Stegostoma tigrinum: one gene and its partners. The protein of the gene in region 2 interacts with the protein of the main gene of each other region in a pairwise test. Links are inferred from orthologs where the notes say so. Each region holds a gene or a part of one and is shown on either strand. Other genes may lie near its edges. The genes, in order: cutc, lnx1, rab GDP dissociation inhibitor alpha and necab2.

Evidence for each region.
Region 1: the proteins of lnx1 (region 2) and cutc interact in a two-hybrid assay, tested with the Homo sapiens proteins (3 studies listed by BioGRID and IntAct). The link is inferred for Stegostoma tigrinum from reciprocal best matches to the Homo sapiens genes LNX1 and CUTC.
Region 3: the proteins of lnx1 (region 2) and rab GDP dissociation inhibitor alpha interact in binary tests that used the Homo sapiens proteins (3 or more experiments, as listed by UniProt). The two-hybrid records come from large-scale screens. The link is inferred for Stegostoma tigrinum from reciprocal best matches to the Homo sapiens genes LNX1 and GDI1.
Region 4: the proteins of lnx1 (region 2) and necab2 interact in binary tests that used the Homo sapiens proteins (3 or more experiments, as listed by UniProt). The link is inferred for Stegostoma tigrinum from reciprocal best matches to the Homo sapiens genes LNX1 and NECAB2.

Annotation. Positions count from the first base shown.
Region 1 is NC_081373.1:13,164,323-13,171,555, reverse strand, and holds the start of cutc (copper homeostasis protein cutC homolog), read right to left. Parts: upstream 3,009-7,233; 5' UTR 2,793-3,008; intron 2,741-2,792; coding exon of another isoform or gene 2,669-2,740; exon of another isoform or gene 2,452-2,668; coding exon of another isoform or gene 2,341-2,451; exon of another isoform or gene 2,310-2,340; intron 2,274-2,309; exon of another isoform or gene 2,061-2,273; intron 1-2,060. Other genes in the region: cytochrome c oxidase assembly protein COX15 homolog, read left to right, coding at 2,341-2,451, 3,661-3,842, 4,575-4,697, 5,630-5,816, 6,372-6,539. UniProt on the Homo sapiens protein: May play a role in copper homeostasis. Can bind one Cu(1+) per subunit.
Region 2 is NC_081354.1:107,522,776-107,530,236, reverse strand, and holds the start of lnx1 (E3 ubiquitin-protein ligase LNX), read left to right. Parts: upstream 1-4,445; 5' UTR 4,446-4,530; intron 4,531-4,643; exon of another isoform or gene 4,644-4,758; intron 4,759-7,461.
Region 3 is NC_081364.1:9,594,167-9,601,086, reverse strand, and holds the start of rab GDP dissociation inhibitor alpha, read right to left. Parts: upstream 3,024-6,920; 5' UTR 2,885-3,023; coding exon 2,840-2,884; intron 1-2,839. UniProt on the Homo sapiens protein: Regulates the GDP/GTP exchange reaction of most Rab proteins by inhibiting the dissociation of GDP from them, and the subsequent binding of GTP to them. Promotes the dissociation of GDP-bound Rab proteins from the membrane and inhibits their activation.
Region 4 is NC_081369.1:3,296,035-3,303,345, forward strand, and holds the start of necab2 (N-terminal EF-hand calcium-binding protein 2), read right to left. Parts: upstream 3,016-7,311; 5' UTR 2,994-3,015; coding exon 2,763-2,993; intron 1,760-2,762; coding exon 1,735-1,759; intron 1-1,734. UniProt on the Homo sapiens protein: May act as a signaling scaffold protein that senses intracellular calcium.

The DNA of each region.
Region 1 (7,233 bases), on a different chromosome or scaffold from region 2:
TCCACCTATCTTCTTTACTCTCCATCTTCGGTCCGCCTCCCCCTCTCTCCCTATTTATTCCAGTTCCCTCCCCCCATCCCCCTCTCTGATGAAGGGTCTAGGCCCGAAACGTCAGCTTTTGTGCTCCTGAGATGCTGCTTGGCCTGCTGTGTTCATCCAGCCTCACATTTTATTATCTTGGAATCTCCAGCATCTGCAGTTCCCATTATCTCTGAGGTTAAAGTATTTGCCCATTTTGCTTCCTTCCAAAGTTCCCATCATCATAGATGTCAGTGGTTGGTTTGATTCACTCCACATAATAAGCAAGAAAGGGCTAAAAGGACTTGATACAGCAATGGCTATAGGATTTGAGAACATCCTGGCTGCAATTTTGAACATTTGCACTCTAGATATGAAGGCAGCCTTTGACTTGAATGTGTCATTAAGGACTCATGGTTAAATTGAAGTCAATGGGGAATCTGGGAAAACTCACCACTGGTGGCAATCATACCTACCAAAAAGGAAGGTGGTTGTCGTTGCTGGAGCAACATTGCTAGAGAAGTGTAATGCCTGAGTGATCTAGACCCATCTTCAATGGCTTTATCAAAGATCTTTTGCCCAACAGATGTGGGGACAGTCACTGATGATTACAAATCATCAGCACCATTCACAACTCCTCAAATACTAGGCCTGTCTGTGCAGCAATCTTGGATAATAGTCAAACTTAGTCTGATTAGCAATTTATATGTGCTAGACAGTAGTATTTCTGACAAGGGGGAATCTAACCATATCTCCCGCAACTGGCATTACCACCACAGATATCCCACCAGCAACATCAAAGGCTTCACCACCGACCAGAAACCTAACTGGAGCAGTCAGACATATAAGGAATACAAATGCAGATCAAAGTGAGCAACTCATTTCTTGACTTCTACCACTCACAAGTTGGGGATATGATGCAATGTTCTCCATTTGCCCAGAAAAGCACAGTTCTAACAACATTTGATGAAGCTCACCACCGTCCAAGATACAACAACCTACAAAAACAAAGTTGTTGGAAAAACTCAGCAGGTCTGGCAGCATCTGTGGAGGAAAAAATAGAGTTAATGTTTCAGGTCCAGTGGCCCCTCCTCAGAACTGATGGTGGCTGGGAAAACGTCAGTTTATATGCAGAAAATAGGGAGGTGGGTGGGGTAGGGAGTAAACGATAGCTTAGAGCCCAAAGAGAGAGAAAGACAGTTGGACAGACAAAGGATTTGCTAATGATCAGGGTGGGAGGGTGAATAGTAGTTAATGGGGACTTTTAGTCACTAACAACAGGGGGTGTGATTTACAGCATCCGCAGTTCTTAAGGTTTTTAAAACAACCTACAATTAAGCACATCATAAAAACCAAATTCATTCCATCCACAACTGACGCTCAGCATCAGCAGCGAATTGTACCATCTGTAAGATGTGCTGCAGTAAACCACCAAAAGCTCTTTCCACAGCACCACTTAAACTCGTTTAGGAAGGGACAAAGGCAACAGGTATGCGGGAATAACACCACCCACAAGTTCTTCTCCAAGCCACCTACAATCTTGATTTGGAAACGTATCGCCGTTCCTTTTCGCTGCGACTGGGTCAAACCCCTAGAACTACCTCCCTGGTGGTACTGTGGGTGCACCACTGGCAAATGGGCAGCAGCAGCTCAACAAGGCGGCTTGCTCATCACCTTCCAAATCACAACTCAGGGGCAGGCAACACACATCATTCCGCATTGTCCTGGTCTCGGGAAACGTGGCCAAGAAGCCACGGGGTAGCCAGCTGGTTGCTGGATACAGGGCTACCGTCCTTGCTCAGTGCTGAAGCTACAGGTGACTCCAGGCTCACAGCTGAGAAGATTCTAGGCGAAGGGGAGGGCGGCATCACCATGGTAACCATTGGCAAACGCCACCCGTGCCAGCAATAAACACACACACACACACACACGCTATGAGAATAAAGTAACATTAATGATTTCTCAAAATTCAACGACCCCAGTCAGTTTACAAGACGCTGTTGCACGAATCAGAATTAAATCGCAGTTTAATCGATACTCACTTCAGCCGCAGCCTGAGGCAGGCCCAAGTCACGTGACTACGACCCCTGTTTTCCCCGCCGCCTCAAGTGAAAACGCGACGGCGCAGATTTTATTTTTAATCTCTGTCTCCATGTTATTTATCGCCCTCGGAGAGCGCAGTGCGGTTATTTTAATTTGTTTTGTGTGCGCGCGTTGATCGGATTTAGTTTTGATCTCTGGCCCCTCACCCCGCTCCCAGGCGGGCAGGGTGCGGCTTTCTGATTGGTTACCGCTGGATGACCCCTGACCCCCGGGTTGGAGATGCTGGTGACGGGATTGTGCGGCCGCTTCGGCCTCCGGGCGATCCGGACCCGGGCCCGGGCCTGGGCCTGGGCCTGGGCTCGGGCCCGGGATGGAGGCCGAGCTAACTCGGTGAGGAGAAAGACAGGCTGTTATTGTAAACCCCACTGGCGGCAGGAGGGCGTAAGGAAGGTGTATTTCTATAGCGCCCTTCGTCCGGCTATTTCCACCCCCGTAGCCCAGACGAAGTACTTTCCATGCGCGATTGTTGTTGGAGGAGGAAACCACGGCGACCCCTTTTCTGCACAGCAAGATTCCACGAAAGGCTGTAACGATAAGTCGGGTCGGAATGCAAGGCGCTAAGAGCTGGGTTAGAGTGGAGGGGGAAGGGGTTGAAGGACAGCAAAGGATAAGAGTTGAGGTAATGTATAAAAGGCAGATTGTAAGGTCTTTTGTCTCACAGTAACACCGACCTTGCCTCTGGGATGTAAGGTTCAAGTCTCACTTGTGGTAGAGGTGCCTCACGAGATGCAACTACGACACATTGCCTGGAAATCCGGTGCTTTAGATTCCGGGTACATGGTTACGTAACCTTAAATAATCTCTGGTTCCTAATATTGGATAGGATTGCAAAAGATAGCTGTGCATTTCCCGTCTGAAACCTCCCAGCCTGTGGTTCTACTCACTTACAGTACTTTCAGGCTGACAAATACAATAGGATTACATATATTAAAATGGTGTTTGAAATCATAATAGCTATGATAAAACTACAGTGGATCAGGAGAAGCTGTTTTCATTGGTAGGTTGATTAGTGACCAGAGCTCCCAGATTTAAGATGATTCACAGAGCAGTGAAAGAATTATGTAATAAACATAAAGTACTGTGAATGCTGTAAATTTAAAATAAGAACAACTTGCTGGAGAATTTCTGACATACCCACTTCTGTGGAGAAAGAAACAGTGCTAACTTTTCAAGTCTAATATGACTCCTTTGGAATTGTGGCAGAGTGGAAGATGTTGCATTCAAAGCGTTAACTCTGTTTCTCCCTCCAGAGATGCTGTCAGACTGCTGTGTTTCTTCAGCATTTGAAATAGTGAAGTTGTGACTTGGAATATGGCACCTGTAAAGGTGTAGGAAGGAATTTTAAGACTGGCTTTCAAAAGAGTGACAGATACTTGGGGAAAATTTGCAGGACTTTGCCAAAACAATGGGTTGGGCTATAACTCGATAGCTCATTTAAAGGTCATGCATAGGCATGCTGTAAGATTTTATGACTAATAATCTTCATCTGGTTCTGTAAAAGGGAGTCAGCCATGCTGTTTTATTAATTCTTCTTTTCAGCTAAGTCACACTTGGAAACAATGGGGAGTGAGAAAGGGAATGAGTTCTGTTGTTACAAAAGTATCAGCGCAGTCCAGGACAGACCGTATACCCAGTGTCATCACAGACCGAATCTTGGGCAAATGGATGATTGTTTGCAGTGGAATGGTTGTGGGCGCTGTGGTCCTTGGCGGAGTAACCAGGTAAGTGAAAGTCTTCTGTCAGTAAAAGCAACCGCTTCCACGACGAAGTCATGGTTCTTTATTGATGGCCTGTTCATATTTCTGGCTAGGCCAATATTTGATGTTTGTATTAATTGATTTTGCTACCTCCTGGAACCACTGCAGTCCTTGTAGGATCCCCACAGGGTGGAAACGGCCATTTGGCCCATTGATTCTACACCAACCCTCCAAAGAGTATCCCGCTCAGATGCCAGCCCGCTATTCTGTCCCTGTAACCCTGCACTTGTCATGGCCAGTCCACTTACCCTGAGCATTATGGGCAGCTTAGCATGGCCAATCGACCTAACTTGCACATCTTTGGACTGTGGGAGGAAACCCACACAGACACAAAGAGAAAATGCAAACTCTGCACAGACAGTCACCCGAGGTTGGAATCAAACCTGGGTCCCTGGAGCTGCGAGGCAATAATGCTAACCGCGGAACCATCTTGCCACCCCAAGCCATCCTTGACGTCTTGAGGAAGTAGAGATGTTGTGCTTTCTTGCAGTACTATACCAGATGTAGTACTGCTGGATTTGATGGGAATAATAGGAGGAGAGGTGTTGAAAATCATCGCATGACAGAATGATTTTGACTCTTTTCCAAATCTATTTTTATTAAAGCACACGCTGGTGCAGTCCAAGGAGGATGAAATGATGAATATTTGTTGAGCACAGAGAGAGTACTTTAAGGGCTTTCCTTAATTTTCCACAGGCTGACCGAGTCTGGCTTATCGATGGTGGACTGGCACCTCATCAAGGAGATGAAACCCCCAAAGACTCAAGGGGAGTGGGAAGCTGAGTTTCAAAAGTACCAGCAGTTCCCAGAATTTAAAATGTAAGTAACAGGTGGCAACATCTCTGACCCTCATCACGTTTGTCTGCAATGCTGCTAGATCAATCAGGCTTTAATTAGAGCCTTGCGCCTGCTCTCTTTTGATATCTTGTCCCTGGCCCAGTTGCTTCTGGATCCCGTCTCATTTCTCGAGATTTGAGCACTGTGACATAATCCAGGTTAATGCCCCCAGTGCAGTACTGGGGAGGTGCAGTCCTTCAGATGAGATTCAAAACTAAGCTCAAGGTTTAAAAGATCTTATCACACTATTTCAAATAATATCAGTCGTACCTGGTATCCAGGTCATCATTTACGCCTCAACCAACACTAAGAAATGGTATCACATTTCTGAGGAAGGTCGCTGTATGTGAAATGTTACGTCTGATTTCTCTTCACAGATGCTGCCAGACCTGCTGAAGTTTTCCAGCAACTTCTGTTTTTGTATCTGATTTACAGCATCTGCGGTTCTTTCAGAATTTATTATCACATTTCTGATGGTCAAAGTTGACTATAAATTGGCTCCCGAGTTTCCTGCTTTGCAACTGTGACTGCGCTTCAAAAGAACCTCATTGGCTGCCGAATGCATTGAGCGACCCTAAGGATGAGAATGGCACTACAGAAATGAAAGCCTTATTTCTTATTTTAAAAAGAAAGTGTTTATTTTAAGCTTCCAACCGTAGTTATACAAGTAGCTTTTGGGCATTTCGTGTTGCTGTGACATTTTCATCTGCTCAGACTTCGATTGAGACAAAAGATCTGATTTCACATCTAGTTCCTTGACTCTTCCCTTTTGTTTATTTATAACAGTTGAGGATAGTAAGGTGGGGTGGTTGGTTTGACGTTCTTGTTGAATTAGTAGCTACTTTTACTCTAGCAGTGGTAAGACCCGATCTGTGACTCCTCTGCATCAACTGCTCCGGTGTTCTTTCCTTCAGATTAAATCATGACATGACTTTAAACGAGTTCAAGTTCATCTGGTACATGGAATATTCTCACCGGATGTGGGGCCGTGCAGTGGGACTGGCCTATATACTGCCTGCCATTTACTTTTGGAGGAAGGGCTGGTTCTCCAGGAGCTTGAAGCTGCGGGTGGCAGGCCTTTGTGGATTCGTGTGCTTTCAGGTAGGTGAAATGCCGGTGACCACCTACCATATCGTGAGATTTGAAAAGGGGAGCCTAGTAAATCTGAAAATGACACAGATTAAAACAGAATGGTGGAAATAATTGGTGGTAGGGCAGGATCTGTGGGGAGAGAGAAGGAGAGTTGATGTTTCAGGTCAGTCACCTTTGGTTTGAACTCCGACAGATCGTCGGCCTGAAATGTTAATTCTGTTTCTTTTTTTAGCTCCCGCCAACTTCAGAATTGAAGAAGAGTTATACCGGACTTATTAACTCTGTCCGTAGATCCTGCTGGATTTGCTAAGTTTCTCCAAGAAATAGTTGGAACTTGTCAAAAGGGTATGGCGATTATCATAGGGGGTCCTACATGTATATTGGAAAAATCAGATTGGACAAAGCAGTCTAGATGAGGAATTTATTGAATATTTGGGCAATTTCCCTCTTGTTTTCTGCATGATCTTTTGTGCATTACCATTCTAATCCTAAGAAAGATATTTTCACTTTGGCAGTTCTGATCTGTCCAGGGTTTTAGCACCTTACCTTGTTGTTGTTCCTCAGGGTTTACTCGGTTGGTACATGGTGAAAAGTGGTTTGGAGGAGAAGAAGGATTCACATGACATTCCCCGGGTCAGCCAGTATCGCCTGGCTGCTCATCTTGGATCTGCACTGTTACTCTACTGTGCCAGCCTGTGGACTGGTCTGTCCCTGCTCCTGCCTCCGAACCAGGTAATGTTCCTCCAGCAAAACCACTGTTTCTGTTCCTTCAAAGTTATAGCTTTTAAATAAATTGCAGTTAGGGATAATGTTTTTATATTTTAAAGCAGGTGAAGCGAGAATATTCCCTTAAGTTCATTCTGTAGATTTCGGTGCCATTGACATTTATTGTTTATCCATAAGTGGTCTAGAAAAAAATGGTAGTTTGCTATCACCTTGAACAGTTGTGGTTGTGCTTTTAGGGAGGCAGTTCCCAATATATTGACTCAGTGGCAGCGATGGAACAACTAGGGAATTTCTAGGTTGGATGGTCAGTGTAGACTTGAAGAGTTTCCAGATGATGATATTCCCATACACCCCTTGTCTTTTCAGTAATTTGGGAAGATGCTGTCGAAGGAGTGAGTTGCTGCAGCATATCTTGTAGATGGTGCATTGTTCCTGCTGTACTTCAATAGTGGAGAGAGTGAATGTTAACTGTAGTGGATGGGGTATCAGTCAAGTAGGCTGTTTTATCCTGGGTAGTGTCATGCTTCTTCAGTGATACTGGAGCTGCACAGGCAAATGGGGAGAGCATTCCATCACACCCTTGAGTTGTGCCTTTGTGGATGGTGGGTAAGGTTTGGAGAATCAGTAAGTGTTGGCCATTGCTATCTTTCCAGTCTCTTATCTGCTTTTGTAATCACAGTATGTACGTAACTGATTTGCA
Region 2 (7,461 bases):
GCTCATGTCCAGAATAGTCTTGCCTTGTTTGTTCAATCAAATGGATTTCCAGCTTTGGTGCTAATGCAGTGTGAAATGGAATGAATGAATTTGTACCATGTCTATGTAAATCCACTTTTATTATGATTCTGAAAAAGGTTTTAAACTCTGTTTAAACTGCTTTGCAAATAGTTCCAATGAAAATTGCTCCATTAAAATGTTGCCTATTAGGGGTTTCTGTGATTTTGGTCATTCTATTAAGAGTTTCAAAGTTAAAATTATGATTTTCTGGACAGTTCCCTGACACACCGTCAAGTAATGTCTACAAATCACTGAAAATAGTTTCCATAGATAAAAATATCCACCTTTTTTTGAGCAACTGTAAGTTTGAAGATCCAACATTATGCTTTAAATGGAGGAACTAATTACAGATTGCATAAAAACTTGATTACATTCAACCAATCAAATTATCTTTATTTTACTAGCTTCAATAAGTTTCTCAATCAACATCAAAGTCTCTCCCAAAAGTCTGAGCTTGATGGTCCACAGATTTTTTTTTGTTAATTTTTAGATATATAACAAATGATGCATTCGGAGCATGTATACCTTCATTTGGGGTTCACAGTTGTTTTGTGGCAATGTCCCCACCTCTTAGTCAAGAGAGCTGGCTTCAAGTTTCAACCTGCTCCAGAGGTTTGTAATAATATCACTGAACAGATTAATTAGAAAATATTGATCCCCATTTGGAATGACAGGCTGACCTAAGATCCAGCCTCAACAACATTAATTGAGAGAGCAGCCAATACCTGAGAAGCTTGCCATTTTAAAAAGGCTAATTTTAAGCCTCTTCCCTAGATTATGACACTTTAAGTTCTGCTATTTAGATTATCCCTTCATTTCTGAAATTCCCTTTATGTTCACTAGTCCTACCATGAGCCACAACTTCTCCTAATACTTAGGTGTTAATCATGACTGGGAGGGTTAAACTCTTCATTCTAAAAAGGTAATTGTGGATATGCACTTCTCACAAACGTAGGCATGAATGAATTCTTTTGGAAAGTTTAGGTTTTCCATTGAAGACATTCTCAGTAGATAATTTGCTTCTACTTACACACTGCGAATTATATTACTATGCATGGTGCAGTGGCACAATCTACGAAGCTATTCAGGGCTAAGCCAATATTATAATAGAGAATGGAGTATCATTGCTGTCAATTCCCTGACTATCCTCAGTTAATCTTTAAAAGTCAATTATCTTCTTTTACAGAAGGCTTCTAGACACCACAGGAGTCATTTTTGCTGCTATTTCTGTCCAGTTACTTATTTTTACTTTTTTTTATCTCTGCTCACAATCTACTATCCCAAATTGCTGATCACAAACAAACGCTGCTGTTCCACATACTTTCTAAAGAAATCAGTAACTATTAGCCTTATGTTTATATTGGAACTATAGTCCGATCAGTTGGCCCGAAACCTAAAATTCTAACGGGATACTTGAAAGAAAGATGTTCTATTGGTGAGGGAGTCCAGAACCAGGGGTAACAGACTAAGGATATGGGTTCAACCATTCAGGACTAAAATGTAAATAAATTTCTTCACCCAGAGAGGGATGAGCCTGTGGAAATTGCTGGCACAGAAAGCAGTTGAGGGCAGTACATTGTCTGATATCCAGGAAGAGTTACAATCATAGAATCCCTACAGTGCAGAAAGAGGCCATCCAGCCCATTGAGTCTGCACCCACCTTCTGAACACCGTCTCCCACCCCTGTAACCCATGAGTTTCCCATGGATAATCCATCTAGCCTGCACATTCCTGGACACTGTAAGGCAATTTTAGCATGCCCAATCCACCCAACTTACACATCTTTGGATTCTGGGAGGAAACCCACGCAGACACAGGGAGAATGTGCAAACTCCACACAGACAGTCACCTAAGTCTGGAATTAAACCCGAGTCCCTGGTGATGTGAGGCAGCAGTACTGTGTCATTTGGAGCTAAACGGATCAAAGGATATGGTGCGAAAGCAAGATGGGTGGTCAGCCATTACCATAATGACGGGTAGAGCAGGGTCAAAGGGCCAAATGGCCTACTCCTGCTTCTATTTTCTATGTTATGGCAAATGTGTTAATGCACAGACCACGATCAGTAGTCCCAAATCTCGAACTATATCTAATAAAACTCACAAACTACGAATTATGGAAAATAATTCCTATTTGGGATATAAATTAGGGATCACCACCCTTAATTGTGGCTATTAATAACAGCATAGACAAGATAAAGAAATAGAAACATGAAAAGATTGGTGCAAACAGGCTGAGTGGTCTTTTTCTGCATGGTAACACTTTTGTGGTTGAAGCGCATGGAGGCTACAGAAGGAACTCCTGGGGGAAATACTAGAGAACCAAGTTCGTAACACCTGAAGAGTGTATATCTGAAAGCTAGCTATCTGAAGGGTTATACCTAAAGAGTTTGTTCTTGAGTAGCGTGTTCGTGGCAGGCAACCATATCTGAAACTGTGCGTATCGGAGGAGTGTATATCTCGGAGTGCAAATACCTGACGTCTTCAAGAGCTGCAGAAATTCACCAAGAATCTTTAGACAATACCTTCCAAACCTATGGCCATGCCCACCCAGAAGGTCAATTGCAGCAGATAATCAGAACAGCACCATCTTCAAGTTTCTCTCCAAGCCACCATCCTAACTTGGAAATATTATCATCGTTCCATCAATGTTCCTGAATGATCCTGGAACTCCCTCCCCAATGATTCTGTGAGTCTATCTACACTTAATGGACCGCAGCTTCAAGAAGGCAGCACACCAGCACCTTCTCTGGGCAGGTAGGGGTGGGCAATAAATGCTGACTAACCACTGACACCTAGATCCCGTAATGATTATTTTAAAGTGTGGGCTGGATGAACGCAGCAGGCCAAGCAGCATCTTAGGAGCACAAAAGCTGATGTTTTGGGCCTAGACCCTTCATCAGAAAAGATTAGATTCCCGACAGTGTGGAAACAGGGCCTTCAGCCCAACAAGTCCACACGGCCTCTTGGAGCATCCCAACCAGACCCATCCCCCTATGACCCCCATGTTGTGGGCAATGCGGGAGACATGGTCGAGGGTGTTCTTGATCAGTGCGGGGGCGGAAGTTGCGGTCCTTGAAGAACGAGGACATCTGGGATGTGCGGGAGTGGAATGCCTCATCGTGAGAGCAGATGCAGTGGAGGCAAAGGAATTGGGAATAGGGGATGGAATTTTTGCAGGAAGGTTGGTGGGAGGAGATGTATTCTAGGCAGCTGTGGGAGTTGGTGGGCTTGAAATGGATATTGGTTTTTAGATGGTTGCCTAAGATGGAGACAGAGAGATCCAGGAAGGAGAGGGATATGTTGGAGATGGTCCAGGTGAATTTGAGGTTGGGGTGGAAGGTGTTGGTGAAGTGGATGAACTGTTCAAGCTCCTCTTGGGAGCACGAGGCGGCGCCAATACAGTCATCAATGTAACGGAGGAAGAGGTGGGGGCCACAACGATGCCACACGAAGGTTGCAGGAACAGCAACTCATATTCCGCTTGGGAACGCTGCAGCCCAATAGGATCAATGTGGATTTCACATGCTTCAAAATCTTCCCTCCCGCCAATGCATCCCAAAACCAGCCCAGCTCATCCCCGCCTTCCTAGCCTGTCCTTCCTCTTACCTATCCCCTCCTCAAGCCACACCTCCATTTCCTACCAAGAAAACAAAGTGTGGAGCTGGATGAGCACAGCAGGCTAAGCAGCATCTTAGGAGCACAAAAGCTGACAGAAAATCTGATGAAGGGTCGAGGCCCGAAACGTCAGCTTTTGTGCTCCTAAAATGCTGCTTAGCCTGCTGTGTTCATCCAGCTACACACATTGTTATCTCAGATCCTCCAGCATTTGCAGTTCCAATTATGTCCATTTCCTACCTACTAGCCTCATCCAGCCCCCTTGAACTGTCTGTCCTCCCTGTACTGACCTATCTCCTCCCTACCTCCACACCTACACTCACCTTCACTGGCTCCATCCCCGCCTCTTTGATCTGTCTGTCTCCTCTCCACCTATCTTCTCCTCTCTCCATCTTCTATCCGCCTCACCCTTTCCTTATTTATTTCAGAACCCTCTCCCCATCCCCCTCTCTGATGAAGGGTCTCAGCCCTACACGTCAGCTTTTGTGCTCCTAAAATGCTGCTTGGCCTGCTGTGTTCATCCAGCCCCACACTTTGTTATCTTGGTTTCTCCAGCATCTGCAGTTCCCATTATCTATGATTATTTTAAAACCCGTGATCTGTGTATCTGGGCTGTATATGCTCAATGAATGTGTACCGTGGACCGTGGGTACCTGTGAGGTGTAAGTCTGAGGGGTGTATGCCTGGAGAGTGTGTAATTGGCAGTGAAGAGTCGAGGGGCGGGGACTGTGTGGGGTGGATACCTGAGCTGTGTTCTGTATTATGGCTGTAGGCAAGTTACCGCATTTCAGTTTTACTTTATTTATCAAGCAATTGCTTACTTTCTGATGCTTTTCTCTCTCTTTTTGGTGAAAAGTGAGTAAGTAGTTAATTGTATGTGACGGAAATATTCGCTGGTGTGAAATCATTCCACGATAGTTTGTAAAGGTGAACTGGATAAAATAGTGAACACTGCTTTCTCTTTCAAGTTTTATATCCGCTCTCTGTTGGATGTGATCACCTTTGTCTCATTATTCCGCGCTCGGAATTATCGGAGCTACTTGTGTCCAACTTGATAGGCCGTGGCAGTTCCCAACAGAGCCGGTAATGTTCACGTGTGTTTACTGTAAACTTCACCAGAGCTCGTGGAAAGTATATTTTCTTTTGGTACCGGGTTACTGAGCTGACAAATCTGCAGTTTAAGCCGCTTTTTAAAAACAAAAGTAAACATTTAGATCAAAGTAAATTTTAAGAGGCTCAGTGGATGAGCTGTGAATTTGAATATTTCTCTCCAGTTATCAAAGTGGCTAGTTTTTTTTAAAAGACCGATTTCTGTTGTGTTTACAATAATGTAACCCCTTTTAGTACGTTCTATTTGATTTTTTTTACTGAATTTTATCATTTGTGTTGGTCCAATTTATTCATGCAAACTAACTTGTACCTTTATCCAGGTGAGTTGGTGTAGACAATGGATTGTGCACAATTCAAGCAGCTTTTGAGGTAGTAAATATTTTACGATTTCAGTGGAATGGAGGGCTGTTGGTTCGATTTATTCACAGGTTGGAAATCTCTTTCTGCATCAAAATGGTTGAATGTTTTAAGAAGCTTTGCAGTCGAGAATATTGGCATCTGTAGGATGAAAAACTGCTCTGTTGAAATCCTACTATGCACGGTGGAAAGATCAGTAGTTTCTGCACTTTGCATAGTTTCCTGTCAGTGTGCCAAAATAGATATGAAGCTTATCAAGAGGTGATTTTTTTTAATTGCAGCGTCAGGAATATGTTGCATTAGTTGGAGTGCAAAGGGTGGAATATATTGTACTGTAAGTGGTATATTCTAGATAATACAGTTGGTAAGGATCAACTTCTGTTTTTTGGTACTACACGATCAAAGCTCAGTAACACAATTTTAACCTCAGAACCTGTTTAATGTCCCTCCCTAATGGCATTATGGGTCTACCTGCACCAAATGGACATGGGCAGTCCAGCAAGGTAGCTGTTCACCACATTCTCAACACTTTGAGCCTGCTCTGCTGTTCAATAAGATCATGGCTGATCTGCTTTTAACCTCAACTCGAGATTCCTGCATATCCCCGCTAGTCCTTCACTCCCTTCATAATCAAGAATCTATCTACTTCTGATATTAAAGTATTTCAATTTTCTGCATCCACTGCCTTTCTGAGAAGGGAATTACAAAGATACTCAACCCTCTGAGAGAAAAACATTTCATCATCTCATTCCCGATAACTTGCAGTACCTTCATACTAACCTTTTGTGATACATGCACTAAGACACCCAAGTTTTTCTGCATCACCAAGCTGTGCCACATCTCAGGTAATAGGCTTCTCTTTTTCCTTCTGCCAAAATGGACAATTTCACATTTTCCCACAATATGCTCTATCTGCCAGATACTTGCCCCTCACTTAACTTATCTATAATTCTTATGTTCATTCCTCTCAAAAAACGATAGATTTCTATTAGGATTCTTAATTACTTGCTGTATCTGCATACTAAATTCATGCACTACAAAAAATAAATCCCTCTGCACCTTGGAATTTTGCAGTCATTCTTTGTTCAAGTACCAGTCTGCTTTAATTTATTCCTTCTGCTAAAATGAATGACATTTTTTTCCCACACACTCCACCTGCCAGATGTTTGTCCATTTCTTTAACCTATTTAAATCCCTTTTGTAGGCTACTTAGGTCCTCTTCGCAACTAACACAAAGGTACAGACCGATTTATAGAACAGTTAGATGTTGAGAACTTGGACAGCAAGGAGAGAGGGCAACAGTTTCATCACTTATTTGGAAGTTGCAGTTGGATGGCTTGTGTCTGATTTTGCCTAACTATAAACAAAGAATGCCATTTAAAGTCACAATTGATTTCCATGATTTACAAGCAGCCAGTTAATAAATTTCTAATAACCAGACTTTGAATTTGATAAATTTCCTGATGTGCATGACTGATTAAACTCACTTTTTTTGCTCGTGCATTATGTTATTTGTTAGTTATAGGAAGGAAGTGTGGTCGGATTTGAACTTGTTACCTCTCTGCTGTATAAATAGTAATTACATAATTAAGACTCAAGTGAGTTCATTGTTGTAGCCTATGGAATGTTAACAGTTGCTTTCTCATCTGCAAATGTGGGAAAGAAAATGAGGTGGGAGAGCAGTAGTGATAGGGGTCTGATTAGTTTGGAGACAGACATGTTTTTAAATATGACTGTAGGATGGTATGTTTCCTAGAGATAATGGGAACTGCAGATGCTGGAGAATCCGACATAACAAGGTGTAGAGCTGGATGAACACAGCAGGCCAAGCAGCATCAGAGGAGCACAAAAGCTGATGTTTCGGGCCTAGACCCTTTCCTGTCTGGTGTGAGGTCAAGGATGTCTCAGAGCAACTCAGGATATGATTCAGGGAGTTTGGGTGGGGGTGGTGTTTCATGATGGGTTCAATGTGTTGGGTAGGAGGGGGAATCCTGCAGTCAGTATTTAGGGAACTTGGTCGGAGTTTAGCAAGCAGGGCCTCAAAAGAAGAAGTAATCCCTGGATTACTCCCAGAGCCACACAAAAATGAGAATGGAAATAGAAGAATAAAGCAGATTAATGCATGGCTGGAAATATGATCTAGGAGGGTGGATTGCAGAAATTTTAAGGAAAGAAATGGAGTCTGAATCAGAGTTATACTGCATGTATGTGAATGCACAGAGTAAAGCCAATAAAATAGGGAGATGATTGCAGAGTGGTAAAGTCGTTGAAATGATGACTAGAATCCAGGGTAATGGTATAGTGACATGGGTTCGAATC
Region 3 (6,920 bases), on a different chromosome or scaffold from region 2:
GAATTTTCTGCTTTTTAACTTGCATCCTATGATGCAGTAGACAAAATCCACTCAGATGGAGTAATTAGGAAGGAGAACTGGTTACTGGCATTCCTACTATTTGTAGACTAAGGCCGACTACAGATGAAAGGCTCGCAAATGACCGTTTTGGTCATCAGCACTCAACTCTTACAGAACCACACTCCATTTTAAAACCACTGCCCATGGGAGAGAAAATTGGTGTGATGGGGAAACATAAGGTATGATTCCAAAGTAGGTTAGGCCAGCTGGGAGAAGTGTTGAAAGACAAAGATCTTCTGTAAATACAGCCCTCCTATCATGAATATTTAAAAGACCAGCAATATCACAGAATATCCTAAAATTCAGACAGCTAAGTTCTCTAACAAGTCAAAAGGCACACAGTCTTTCTTTCCCACTCAAATACAAATACAGAGCTACAGAATCTATGTTCCAAATCATAGATGCATACATCATGAATTGAACATAAAAGATGAGACAGAATCAGTTTAAAGCAGTCACATGTTCCTCCTGCAGGCAAACAAACAGACTCTACAAACAAAGACTCCATTTTAAATGGCAGGCCTAAGATTTCATGCAGCATTTGACCAAGAATTCAGTCAATAAGCAAGAATGATGAAGAGTAAACTTTTTATCATAAAAGCATTTTTTTCATAAAATGTATTACAAATTTGCAGGAAAGGTTCCTTTAAAAGCACAAGTTCAGATATTAATAAATAAACCAAACACTTGTACTGATATTTATATACATTTCTACTCACACAAGGAAAACAAGGCAGCACCCACAAAACAGGTAGCAGGAACTGCAGATGCTGGAGAATCTGAGATAACACGATGTAGAGCTGGATGAACACAGCAGGCCAAGCAGCAGAGGAGCAGGAAGGCTGACGTTTCGTGCCTAGAATTTTCTGAAGGGTCTAGACCCGAAACATCAGCTTTCCTGCTCCTCTGATGCTGCTTGGCCTGCTGTATTCATCCAGCTCTACACCTTGTTATCCCACAAAACAGGTTCTCGTTTTACTTTTCTCTCTGCCACAGGAAACGAAGAAATTTCCATGAATTTGGCTCTTGGCTGGCAAAATGGTGTTGTAAGCGTTTCACCGATGAGGGAGGGGGAAAAAAGGGACAAATCAAAAGAATAAATGGGAAAAAAAATCAAAAGCTTGCTTGAAAGAAATAGGTTTTAAGGGGTTCAAATGAAACCAGGGAGGTGTGGGTGAGAACGAAATAATTCAAGAAATATGAAGGAGAGATTCTCAATGATAGGCTCAAAGAAAGTCAGGGATACAATAAAACCTCAGGGTCAGTGAGGAGGTGAAGACTTGCAACACCAGAGTTTACTTTAAAAGATAGGGATAAGCCAGGCCTTGGGAAAATATAAACTACTGAAACTACACCACTGGGGAAACAGGACAACAGTGACCATTGAAGGTAGAGAGTAATGGATAGACCAGCCATCATCTTAAAAGATGAAACATAATTAATGGATTTACTAACTGGAAAACAATAACATTTTTCACAGTATTTCATTGGCTGGTCTGCAATCATTTATTGACTGCTTTTTAACTTTAAAGCCAGTTCCTTAAAGCACAGGGCAGCACGGTGGCTCAGTGGTTCACAATACTGCCTCAGTGTTCAATTCCACCTTCAGGCGACCGTCTGTAGAATTTGCACATTCTTCTCGTGCCTGCGCGGGTTTCCTCCAGGTGCTCCAGTTTCCTCCCACAGTCCAAAAGATGGGCAGGATTGGCCATGCTAAATTGCCCATGGTGTCCAGGATTGTGCTGGCTCCATGGTCAAGCCATAGGAAATACAGGGATGATTGGGAGGGGTTATTGGATCTGGTCAGGATGCTCTTTGAAGGTTCAGTGTGCACTAGATTGGCCAAATGGCCCGTTTCCACACTGCAGGCATTCTACAATTCTGATTGATTCCTGCCACTCGATGTTAATAACAATGAGACATTTTAACAGGAGCTTAAAAGTAATAGTCTGTGACTTGTAATGAACAAAAACATTGATGTAGGGAATATATACATGGATAAAAATCTCTCTACATCACTAATGGAAGAATAGAGTAAACAATTTAGGCATTAATTTTTGATTGAAGAAAAACAAGGGGCTTCCTTTTCTCAAAGATTTGGTTAACTTCGGTATTATTTCTATTGATTTTTTCCCCCATTTCATAGCCTTGTAATTCTTTCACAAAGTGTGGGTAATAAAAGGCCAGCATTTGCTGCCCATCCCAAATTCTTGTGGCTCTGGAATCACATGCAGGGCATTTATGAATAACGTGGCTTTGATTTTTTTTAAACAAAAAGCAGTGTTTTCCAACCACCATTACAAGTAATATGTTTTAATTCGAATCAAAATTCAAAAAGCCACCAATGTAGTCTTCAGCTCCTGTCCCTAAGCCTCTGGATTACTCTAAAGGTACTCTCAAAATTTCAAAAAATAATTTTCAAAAATTAAAAAAAAAATTCTCAAAAATCAAGGGAATGCTCGAAACACACGTCAAATTAGGCAAGATTTGAGACGAGTTTTCCCCGCCTCAATAATAACTTTAAACTTTACCATTCTGAGATTTATGTAGCAAACCAACACCCACAGTGCATGCTGCATCTGAGAAAGGCTTAAGAAACGTTATATTAGTGAATAATTCTCTTTACAATATCCAAGTTGGACAATCTACATGACAGCAGCAATCCAGTCAACAGGCCACTATAATTCCATTTCCTCCACCTATTCATCAAATATTAATATCACACAGTCGGGGGTGGGGAGAGAAAGGCTGTTAGTTAAATAATAGAATAAAGGCTCACCTTCAATCCAGTCCCTAGGACAATCACATCATATTCTTCATCCATTTTTTTACTTGTTATTCACTGTACCACCGTTAATTTTTGGTTAAAAACCTGAGGTTTATTGTGGAAGGGCTGGGCTGGGCTGAAGCTGACTGGATGGAGCGGATCACCATATGCCGTGACACTACCCGCACTTCAGACGGTGTCCATCCGCCATCAGCCAATAGTGCGCCTTATTTTTTTTCCGAAGAGTTCACCGCCTTTTCGTCTCGGGATCGACAAGAATGCCTCGGGACATTGATTTGAAGGATAAGCAAAGTTCTCCGAGGGTGAAAAGCAACGAAACATCGAGGTATTCTGGAATTCCCTTCCCCCTCTTTCGACATAGTCCGAAGAAAAAGTAGTGCCACCGTCGACGGCCAGGATACAACGGGGCACTGCGCAGGCGTACAACCCGTGGGACTTCTGGGGATTGTAGTCCACAGCGGGGGGGTCAGAGTCTGTGTGCTGGATAATATGCACCGCAATGAAGCATGGGAGACGTAGTTCCAAAGTAGGGCACAATTCCCTATTCTCTACAAACAAAAACAGAAATTACTGAGAAATTACTGAAAAAACTGTGCAAGTCCGGCAGCATCTGTGGAGAGAGAAAGTAGAATAACGTTTCGTCCAGTGATCCTTCTTCAGAACACAGTCCTCCATTTCAAAATGTCATTGACAGCATTCGTCTGCATGCAAGCGTAATACAAGGCCCAGTGCAACTGCCAGGATGCTCAGGAGACATGGTAATTGAAAGATAATTCCAACTGTATTAAGGAGGAGGAAAAAAGAAGAAAATAACATTATAAGGATCGTCTTTAAATTGAAGCAAGGAACTGATCTTAAAAAAAAATTGGATATCCCAGCAGGTGTGGAGAGAGAAACAGAGACAATCTTTCAGGTCTCCATCAAAGGACCTTCTTTATCAGGAGCAATTATTTGCAGTTCTAGAGACTCTAGAATTTCTCAGTAAATTGCTGTTCAGTTTAGGTGGTAGAAATTTAAGGGAACAAGTGCAGTTTGCAGGCAAATAGGGTTCACTCCCATTTAAATTATTACCCTCATCAAAGATATTATTGTTCTTAGCCACATTTTCAATGGCCTGACCACTCCATATCACTGTAATTCCCTGCAGTTTCACAATCTTTTGAAATTGCTTCTTGAGCATCCCAGATGTTAACACTTCCTCCACTGGTGGTTATATTTTCAGCTGACTAAACCACTAAAATTTTGATAGTGGAAGGAGGAGTAGGAATAGTAGTGGTGGTAATGTCCGTGGACTAATAATTTAGAATGCACAATAATGATCTGATTCAAATTCCATTACAACATATGATAAACTTTGAATTCAGAAAAAAATGTGGAGTTAAAAAATAATCTAACTGCAGTCGATTACCTTAAAACTCAGCAAGATTACTATAATAAGATAATAGAATGTGAGGCTGGATGAACACAGCAGGCCAAGCAGCATCTCAGGAGCACAAAAGCTGACGTTTCGGGCCTAGACCCTTCGCAGCGCTGTCAGGCTGGAGGTGCGGTTCGGAACGTCGAAGCGAGGTCACGGACGGTTGCGGGTAGGGGGACCCTCGCGTGGTCGTAACGGATGGTTTGCACGGTACCGACAAAAGTTTGGCTCGAGGGATGACTTTCAATAGATCGCAGCGAGGGAGCTGCTCTGCTACTTACAAAACCCTGAGCCAGAATCAGGTCGTCTGCGAATGATTTAGCACCAGGTTCCCCACGAACATGCGGTGCGTCTAGAGGAGAGAGGTGGCGCCCATACGGCCGCGCTCCTGCCCAGAATCGAACGGCACTACGCACCGACCGGAGTCGGTTATCCCAGGCCAACCAGAGATCCGCGGCGCTAGGGTATCCTTACGTTTAGGCGGGATTCTGACTTAGAGGCGTTCAGTCATAATCCCACAGATGGTAGCTTCGCACCATTGGCTCCTCAGCCAAGCACATACACCAAATGTCTGAACCTGCGGTTCCTCTCGTACTGAGCAGGATTACTATTGCAACAACACATCATCAGTAGGGTAAAACTAACCTGTCTCACGACCGGTCTAGGCCCGAAACGTCAGCTTTTGTGCTCCTGAGATGCTGCTTGGCCTGCTGTGTTCATCCAGCCTCACATTCTATTATCTTGGAATTCTCCAGCATCTGCAGTTCCCATTATCTCTGATACTAAGATTACTATACGTCCTTTAGGGAAGAAAACCTGCTATCCTTTCCCGGTTTGGCCTACATGTGATTCCAGACCCACAACAATAGAGTTGACACTGGATAATGAGGGAAGAGCAATAAAAACAGACCTAGTCAGAGATGCCACCTTCTGTGAATTTTTAAAAAAAATTTCATAAATTTCTTTGCGACATTCCTTGAACCTTCTTCGATGAAATTATTGGCCTTCTGCCACAATGTTGCTTTACATGGCTTGGCATTAAATTTGGTTGTTTAACTTGCCTGTGATTTGCCTTGGGACATTTGATTACATTTAAGGCATTGCATAATTGTAACTCGACGTGGTTAGCTTGTATGTTTCATACCTGAATCTTGGACACACTGAATTCACCTACAACTCACAGGCCAAAATTCTTAAGTATGTCAAACATGAAAACTTGAATTTGATTTACGCAGAGGCCCTAAGATAAAGTCAGGAATTAAGTATTTGATCTACAATAAAATCCAAACAATAAAATGACATTCCATGATTCTATTTACTGTTATCCCAAATTAAAAATAAATGATGACGAAGTTGTTTCATAATGGGCTAAATTTAAAAAAGCTCAGATTTAGGAATGGCTGGGACCAACGTCATTTCTCTTCATGCTGCAATAGTAAGACAAGCTTGTAGGAAATCAGAGCAGGAAGTCCATTCAGCTCCCTAAGCCTGCTCTGCCACTATTTAATAAGATAATTGCTGATCTGATTCTGGCCGGAACTCCTCTTCTCTGGCCTGATCTGCATAACCCTTGTTTCAAATTATGTGTTTAATGGCTGCCACACCCGAATGAAAGCAAATTACAGTAGATGTTGAGGTCACATGACCAAAGGAAGATCAGCTAGTAGGTACAATGCGCAGATGCAAACATCCCCTTTTAGACAGAGAAAGAAAATTGTACGCACTATTTTCAGCAGCTATGGGTCACCCAAAATGATCACTCATGAACAAAACTGAAAATTCTAGTCTATCCCACTTTCATCAGTCTGTATGTGCATGCATTGACTTGTTTTCTCTGAGGTTTTCAGGTCTTTTGATAAGATTTAGTTGAGTAACTGCCAGTTTGTCTGGTATCTGTTCATTCCTAGGGTGATGTTCTTTTCAAACAGTTACATGTCACAGACCAATCCATGCCGAATATAATCCCAAACTGAACTCGTCTCACCTGCCTGCTCCTGGCCCATATCTATTCATATATTTTTCCAAATATCTTTTAAACATTGTAATTGTACCTACACTTCATCAGGAGATTTATTCCACATGCAAACAACCCTCTGCGTAAAAAACTTAACCCTCGTCTTTTTTTAAATCTCTCGCCTCTCACCTTAAAAATGTGGTGCCAAGTCTTGAAAACCCTCCACTATGGAAAAGACAATGAGCATTAACTCTATCTACCCCTCATTATTTTATAAACCTCTATATTGTTCTTTCAACTATGACTTCCAAAGCATTTTGAACTGTTGTTACTAGTCTTTTGATTTGAGTTAAGCTGCTTCTTTTCTGTGAATGAATACCAATGCAAATCCTGGGCAGTGAGTTTGCACAGATGTTTGCACTCTGATGACAAATCAGGCAAGAATTTTGCTAAACAGTTCATCAAAAATCTGATGAATCATTGTACTGTATTTACACCTTTGCAACAACTTTCACCTTGCCAAGATCCAAGCAAAGTCGTTTACCATCAGTATATGCCCTTGATCCAGCCATCTTCAATTTCTTTTGTTTTCTTGCTCTATTCTCTTAACATATATTTTCTTCCGTTGTGTGATTACTGCCTCTTCTGCTTTGACTTGCTTACAATTAACTGCCATTACCTCAAAGAACAATATCTTAGCC
Region 4 (7,311 bases), on a different chromosome or scaffold from region 2:
TCCAGCTGCCTGACACAATACTTCCAGAGTGTGTGGGACTGTACCACAGTGAGAGTTAATGCGTGTGGGACTGTACCACAGTGTGTGTGGGACCCCGTACCCCAGTGAGAGTCAGTGTCTGTGGGATCCTGTTACCCAGTGAGAGTCAGTGTGTGTATGTGGGACCCACTGCCCCAGTGAGAGTCAGTGTGTATGTGGGACCCACTGCCCCAGTGAGAGTCAGTGTGTGTGTGGGACCCCGTTACTCAGTGAGAGTCAGTGTCTGTGGGATCCTATTACCCAGTGAGAGTCAGTGTGTATGTGGGACCCACCGCCCCAGTGAGAGTCTGTGTGTGAGTGTGTGTGTGAGTGTGTGTGTGTGTGTGTGTGTGTGTGTGTGTGTGTGTGTGTGTGTGTGTGTGTGACCCCGTTACCCAGTGAGAGTCAGTGCATGTGTGGGACCCACTGCCCCAGTGAGCGTCAGTTTGTGTGTGGGATCCCATACCTCAGTGAGAGTCCGTGTGTGTGTGGGACCCGCTGCCCCTGCGTTTGGCTTCTCAGAGCAGAAATCAGAATTAATCAACCCTTTTGAGCATAAATTTGTTTTCATTCAAGCTCAGGTTCAATTCTAATATTTAGACTGTTCACAGTATCATCTTAGGTCTTCTAACAGTTGTGTGTAAAACTCTCAATCTCTTTCAGGAGAAGCCCTTATTCATCATTAAAGGGCCAGAAAAGCCATTCAGTCTATCAGCTCAGCTTCAGTTCTGTTCTGGACAGTGCACTTTCAGGGCAATGTGAAGGCATTGGAGAGGTTAAACAAGGAATTTATCAGAATGGTTGCTGGGATGAGGAATTTCACGTATGAAGACTGATTAGAGAAGCTCGGACAGTTCTCCTCAGAGAGGAGAAGGCTGGGAGGAGATCTGGATGATGTTCAAAATCATGGGGCACCCAAACAGTAAAAGGAAAACCTGTTCCTCCTCTTGAAAGGATTGAGGACATGAAGGCCACAGGTTTCAGAGAATTTGTGAGAGAAGCTAAAGTGGTTCGAGGATAATCTCGTCTGTGCAGCAAGTGCTTCAGATCTGCGATGGAATGCCTGAGAGGATGGTAGAGGCTGGTTCAAACAAGGCTTTACAAGGGGAAATCAAATGGTTAATTGGAAAAGGAGCAAAGTGCAAGGTTACAGAAAGAATGACACTAGGTGAGATATTCATTCAGATAGTTGGTGAAGAGACAATGGCTGAAAGGCAAACTCCTGAACAGGATCTGTGTTGAGATTCAGTCTGATCTGTAGCTGATGTCTATTGACCCACTCTGCCTCTGGTTGGATTCACCTGAGAATCTCTGACTGCCTTTAACCCTTGAAGCCCCAATCAAATCCATGTGAATCTTTGCCAACACTCTATATACCTCCTGAGTTGCACTGTTCAGAAGTAAACACAGTACTGCAGATGTGGTCCAACCAAGGCTCTGTTCTATTGGAAACACAATTTGATTCCAAGCTGCTTGAGATAACGGTAAACATTTAAGAGGATAACGCCTCTTCATATTATCCCAACCGAATCTTAATGTATATTTTAATCACCACAACCAGATGCACTTGCAGTCAGTCCCACCAAGGGGATATGAGCTAAGTTTACACACTGTCCTTGCAATTTAACCCTTTCACCCTCTGCATCATTCCTAAAAATACCTCTGAAAATGAGACTAATATAAATTAAACATGCACCAAAATGATTCTGCACTTACCATTTTTATCAGCTCTTCTGAATATCTAGAGACGTGGAGAAAACAGAATTTTAAAAGATCAATTTCTTCGTTCACTCAGCAGAATTTCAAACCGAAATCATTCACTCTGAATGCCCCCAACTTGCCTGCAGTATTTACTGTTACATTACAAGCCAGGCAATAGAGACATAGCCAAAACTATCGAACAGACACACACTCTTCGGAATTTAATGTTTCTATTCATACATCCATCTAACTTTCATATTAAATTCACTCCCTGCCAACAGATTGCCTCTCTTTCTGTCTCACTTTCCTTCCTTCTAATTCTCCCTCTGTTTTTCTGCTCTCTTCTGTCTTTATCCATCTATTTCCCTTTGTCTCCTTCTTCCCTCGCCCCCCCCCCCCCGCTTTCTGCAGTTTCTCTCTCCGTCTCTGTAAGTTGCTCTCATTATCACTCATTGTGTTTCACTCTCTGTTTCTCACTTACTGTTTTGCTCTCCGTTTCTCTCGCCTCTCTGTAGGTCGCTCTATTCCGCTTTTGCTCTCTCCCTGTCAGCTTCACTCTCTCTCAATCCCTCCGTAGCCATTCCGTGTGTGTCTGTCTCACTTATTTTCTTTTGCTTTCCCTCTCTTGTCCCTTACCGTTTCTCTCTCTCCATCGCCTTCTCTCCGTCTCTGTCCCTCGCCCCTCTCCCTGCATGCCCCTCTTTCTCTCTCTGCCTCTCTGTATCCTTGTCTCTAACTCATTCTCTCTGTCTCTGCATGTCCCTCTGCTGGAGTTCTCCATCTCTCTCCCCATCACTTTCTCGGATATTCTGTCTCGCTCCACCGCATGCCCCTCTCAGCTTTCATCCTCGGGCAGCTCCTTCCGACTCGAGCCCAGTCCGTTCCTATTGACTCTATCCATAGACAGTCCCACCTGCCGGGGAAGGATTCCGCAGGGCGGATCTGAATCAGTCCCTTGGTCAATTGAGGATGGGTAACCACTAAAATATGAAAGTTGGTCTCTGACTCCAGGCGGGGAAAGGAAGAGACAGAAAACTACTTACGTCCAGGATAACTGAGATGCCTTTCTTGGTGTCCGCGGCCACCTGCTGCCTGGAAGGTGCCCCTTCAGTTTTCTGAGATTCCCTGTCCCCGAACTTCTTGTCGCTCATTTTGGTGAGGACCCAGCGCAGGACGCCGTCCAGCCCCCTGATACCGCGGTGCACAGGCGGCTGCGTGTCACGGAGTTGCTGCTGGACGCTGTCCCTGCAGTAGCGAGCTGCCTGATCACACATCTTCCTCACATCCTGCAGACCATCCCCTTCCCCTCACACCCCTCCCTGCAACCCCCCCCCCCGCCCTATCCCCTCCCCACGCACCTACCACCCAGCCCCCCAACACCTCCGCCCCCCCCCCGGGTTCCCAGCAGCTTCAGGCCGGCTCCAGCAGCACTCCCCCCGCCCCCCACCCTCAACACACACACACACACACACACACACACAGTCTATCCCCCTCCCCGTCACCGCTCACGCACTCAGCAGCACCGAGAGCTGGAGGCAAACTGTAGGACGTGTAGAGAAAGAGGAACAGGCCGGCAGAGAGGGGGGAGATGCAGAGGGGCGGGAGGAGAGGAAAGATCAGGCCGTGCTCAACACTCACAGACACTGTCCTCCTCCAACTGCTGCCCCGTCAGCTGTACACAGGGCAAATCCAGCCAGGGAGCCTCCTCAGAAATAGCCCCCAGGTTGATACCACTGTATGTATACAAAGAAAAAACTGTGGGTAAACTTTGTCAATGTCTTTAAGCTCGCAATTTTGTGTTTGTGTGTTTCTGACGATGTGTGTGCGCGGGTGTGAATGTGTATACATTGTGTCCAGAGTGTTACAGATGTAACATCTGTGTTGTGAATTTGCGTCAGTATCTGTCTGTGCCTGTGTGTATTTGTGTCTCCAAATGTATGTTTGCATGTGCCTGTGTACCCATTTGTGCATGTGTCTGTGCATGTGCCTGTGCATGCATGCCAATGTGTGCTTGTGTGTCTGTGTGCATCATTGTGTATCCATCTATGCTTGTGTTGTATCTGTGTCTCTGTATCTCTGTGTGTATGTCTGTGTCTATATGCCTTTACATGTGTCTGTCTGTGTGTGCCAGTCTATGTGTTTGTACGTGAGTCTGTCTGTGTCCATCAGTGTATCTATATCCACATCCATGTGTATACATTGAATAGACGCATGCACCCACGTGAGTATGGGTGTGACTGTGTTACCGTGTGTTTGACCGCTGTGTGTAGTGCTGCATGGACATGACTGAATGTAACAGAGTCTGTGTGGGTGCATGACTGTGTCAATGTGACTCTGCCTGTGTAACTGTGTGTGTGACGAGGCTGGGTGTGTGCCCATGTTCATGGCACTGTACATGACATGCATGTGTGTGTGACTGTGTCAGGGTGTGTGACCATGTGCCTGTGTGTCACTGTGTGCATGTGATGCCAGCAGTGTGGATTCAATTCCCATACTGGCTGAGGTTACCTTGAAAGTCTCACCTTCTCAAATTCTCCTGTCACCTGAGGTATGATGATCCTCAGATTAAACCACCACCAGCCATCTCTGTCTCATGAGAGAGCAGCCCTATGGTCTGGTAAGACTATGGTGACTTTTCCTTTATCTGCATCTGTTTGTATGTATCTAGCTGAAAGTGTGTATGAGTAGGCCTATGTTTGTGTCTGTGTGTATGTGTGTGGGTGTGTCTGTCTGTTGATGTGTGTATGTGAGTATATCTGTGTCTATACATCTGGATTTGTATAAGTATATCTTTGGACGTAAGTGTATCTGTGTCTATGTATATCTGTCTCTGTACATGTGTGTGTGTATCTGCATGTGTGTTTGCATGCATTTCATTGTGTTTCTGCATGTATCTGCGAGTATGTCTTTGACCTTTGTGAGTCTGTGCATGTGTCCGCGTGTTTGTATGTGTGACTATGAGTGCAATTGTGTTTCCCTAGTGTGTCTGATTTGTCTGTTTGTATTTGTATGTGTATCTGTGCCTGAGGTTGTGCTTGTCTGTGTCTGTATGTATGTGTATGTGAGTCCATATGTGAGAGTGTGTGTGTCTTGGTACATGTTTATGCGTACCTGTGTGTTTCTGCAGATATGTATGTGTGCGTGTGTCTTTGTGCATATTTATGTGTACCTGTGTGTTTCTATAGATATGTACGTATGTGTATATCGGTATATTTGAATCCATGTATGTATCAGTATGTCTGAGCGTGCTTGCATATCTGAGGCTTTTTATGTTTTCCATATGAATGTGCAAGTGGGTGTGTATTTGTGGATGCATGTGTCTGTATGCAAGTATTTGTGTGTTTGCCTATTCGAATGCATGCATGTGTGTGCATGTGTGCATTCCCGTGTGTGTGTTTGTGTGTGTGTATTTCTAAACGCTGAGATCCTGAGAGGTTGGCCAGCCCACTGGGACCCTGGCAGAATTTAATCTTTCCAAGCCACAGGGATTAATTATTTTCCTGGCCGAGTCTGTGAATGCAGACTGAGGATGGAGCATGGATCTTCCTGTGAGTGTATCTCATTCAGCAGTCAGTCCTCAGAGGAGCTTAGCTGTACCGTAGGTAATGCTGCAATAAGATTGGTACAGAGCAGGAAGCGAAACAGCAGGAAACAGGACAATTGATCACTAACTCTGATGCTATGAGAGTACGATACAAATTTATCACCGGCAGTGACAGAATCGGGGGTGAGGGGGAGGGGGCGTGATATTGGATCAGCCTCCTGTTCTCCATATTACCTGCTATTCAGTGGCATCACAGAGAGTGCAATTAAATATGGGCAGCCACAGATGACTGCAGGTTAATCCTATTCTCCAGTTTGTCACTGCCCAGGACATGTACCTCCCCATTCACATAACTGAAATCAGCCAATATTAACCCCAGCATCCACTTCATTAATCACCAATAATGTCCATAGCACTCCCCACATCACCACAATCCCACAGATTCACCACCCTGTCATGCCCCTCATGTAAGTTTCAGTAAGGTCAAAATTCTATATTCCAATAAGTACAGGCCCAATCTGCTCAATTTCTTCTCATAGGACGGTCCCTTTGTAGCTGGTGTCAGCCCAGTGAACCTTCACTGTGCTTCCTACAATGCCTTGATAGCTTTCTTAGGTAAGGGGCCCAAAATGCTCAACATTATTGCAGCTGTGGCTTGGCCAGTGCCTTGCATAGTTTTAGCAAAACCTCCCTACTTTTATAAGAGAACAAACAAACGAGAACAAAAGAGAGGCACAGCACAGGAACAGGCCCTTCGGCCGTCCAAGCCTGTGCTGATCATCATGCCCCGACTAAACTGAAAAACAAACCTTCTGCCCTTATTCAGTCGTATCCTTCTATTCCCTCCCTATTCATGTAATTATCCAGGTGCCTGTAAAATGTCACCAACCTATCTCCTTGCACAACCTCCTCTGGCACTGCATTCCAGGCTCCTACCACTCTCTGTGTGAAAAACATTCCTCACACATCTCCCCTGAACTTTCCTCTTCTCACCTTGAACCTGTACCCCCTCGTTACTGAAACTTCAACCCTGGGAAAAAGCCTCTGACTATGCACTATGCAGTATTGTGTAGACCTCTATCAGGTCTCCTCTCAGCTGCTGTCTTTCCAGTGAAAACAAACCTAGTCTTTTTAACCTATCCTCATCACCAATGCCCTTGAGACCAGGCAATATCCTGGTGAACCCTCTCTGTACTTTCTCCAAAGCTTCCACATGCTACTGGTAATTTGGCAATCAAAACTGCACACAATACTGCAAATGCAGCCTAACCAGGATTGTAAATGGTTACAACATGCTTCACGAACTCTTGTGCTCCACACCAAGCCATTGAAGGCAAGCATGCCATATGCCTTCTTAATCACCTTGGCTACCTGTGTTGCCTCTTTTAGGGAACTGCAGGCCCAGATCTGTCTGTATTTTAATGTTCCTAGGGGTTCTGCCATTTACAGTATAATTCGCACCTAAATTTGACCCTCCAAAATGAATCTCCTCAGATTTGTCTGGATTAGACTCCATCTATCTTTTCTGTGTCCAAGTCATTAATTTAACTATATCCTGTTGTACCTTTTCACAATCGTTGGCACTATCAGCAACTCCACCAACCTTTGTGTCGTCTACAAACTTACTAATCAGACCACCCACATTTTCATCCAGATCATCTATATACACTACAAACAATAAAGGACCCAATAATGATCTCTGTGGAGCACCATTAGTTACCTGGCTCCATTTTGAAAAACACCCTTCCACCACTACCCTCTGTCTTCTATGACCAAGCCAGTCTTGTATCCATTTGACCAGCCCACTCTGAATCCCATGCAATTTTAGTTTTTTGTACCAATCTGCCATGGGGGACTTTATCAAATGCCTTACAAAAGTCCACATAAACTACATCAACAGCCCTTCCCTCATTCATTATCTTTGTCTTCAAAAAATTCAATTAGATTGGTAAGACATGACCTTCCCTGTACAAAAGCATGCTGCCCGTATCTAACACACACATTTTCTTCCAAATGTGCATATATGCTGTCCCTCAGTACCTTCTCCT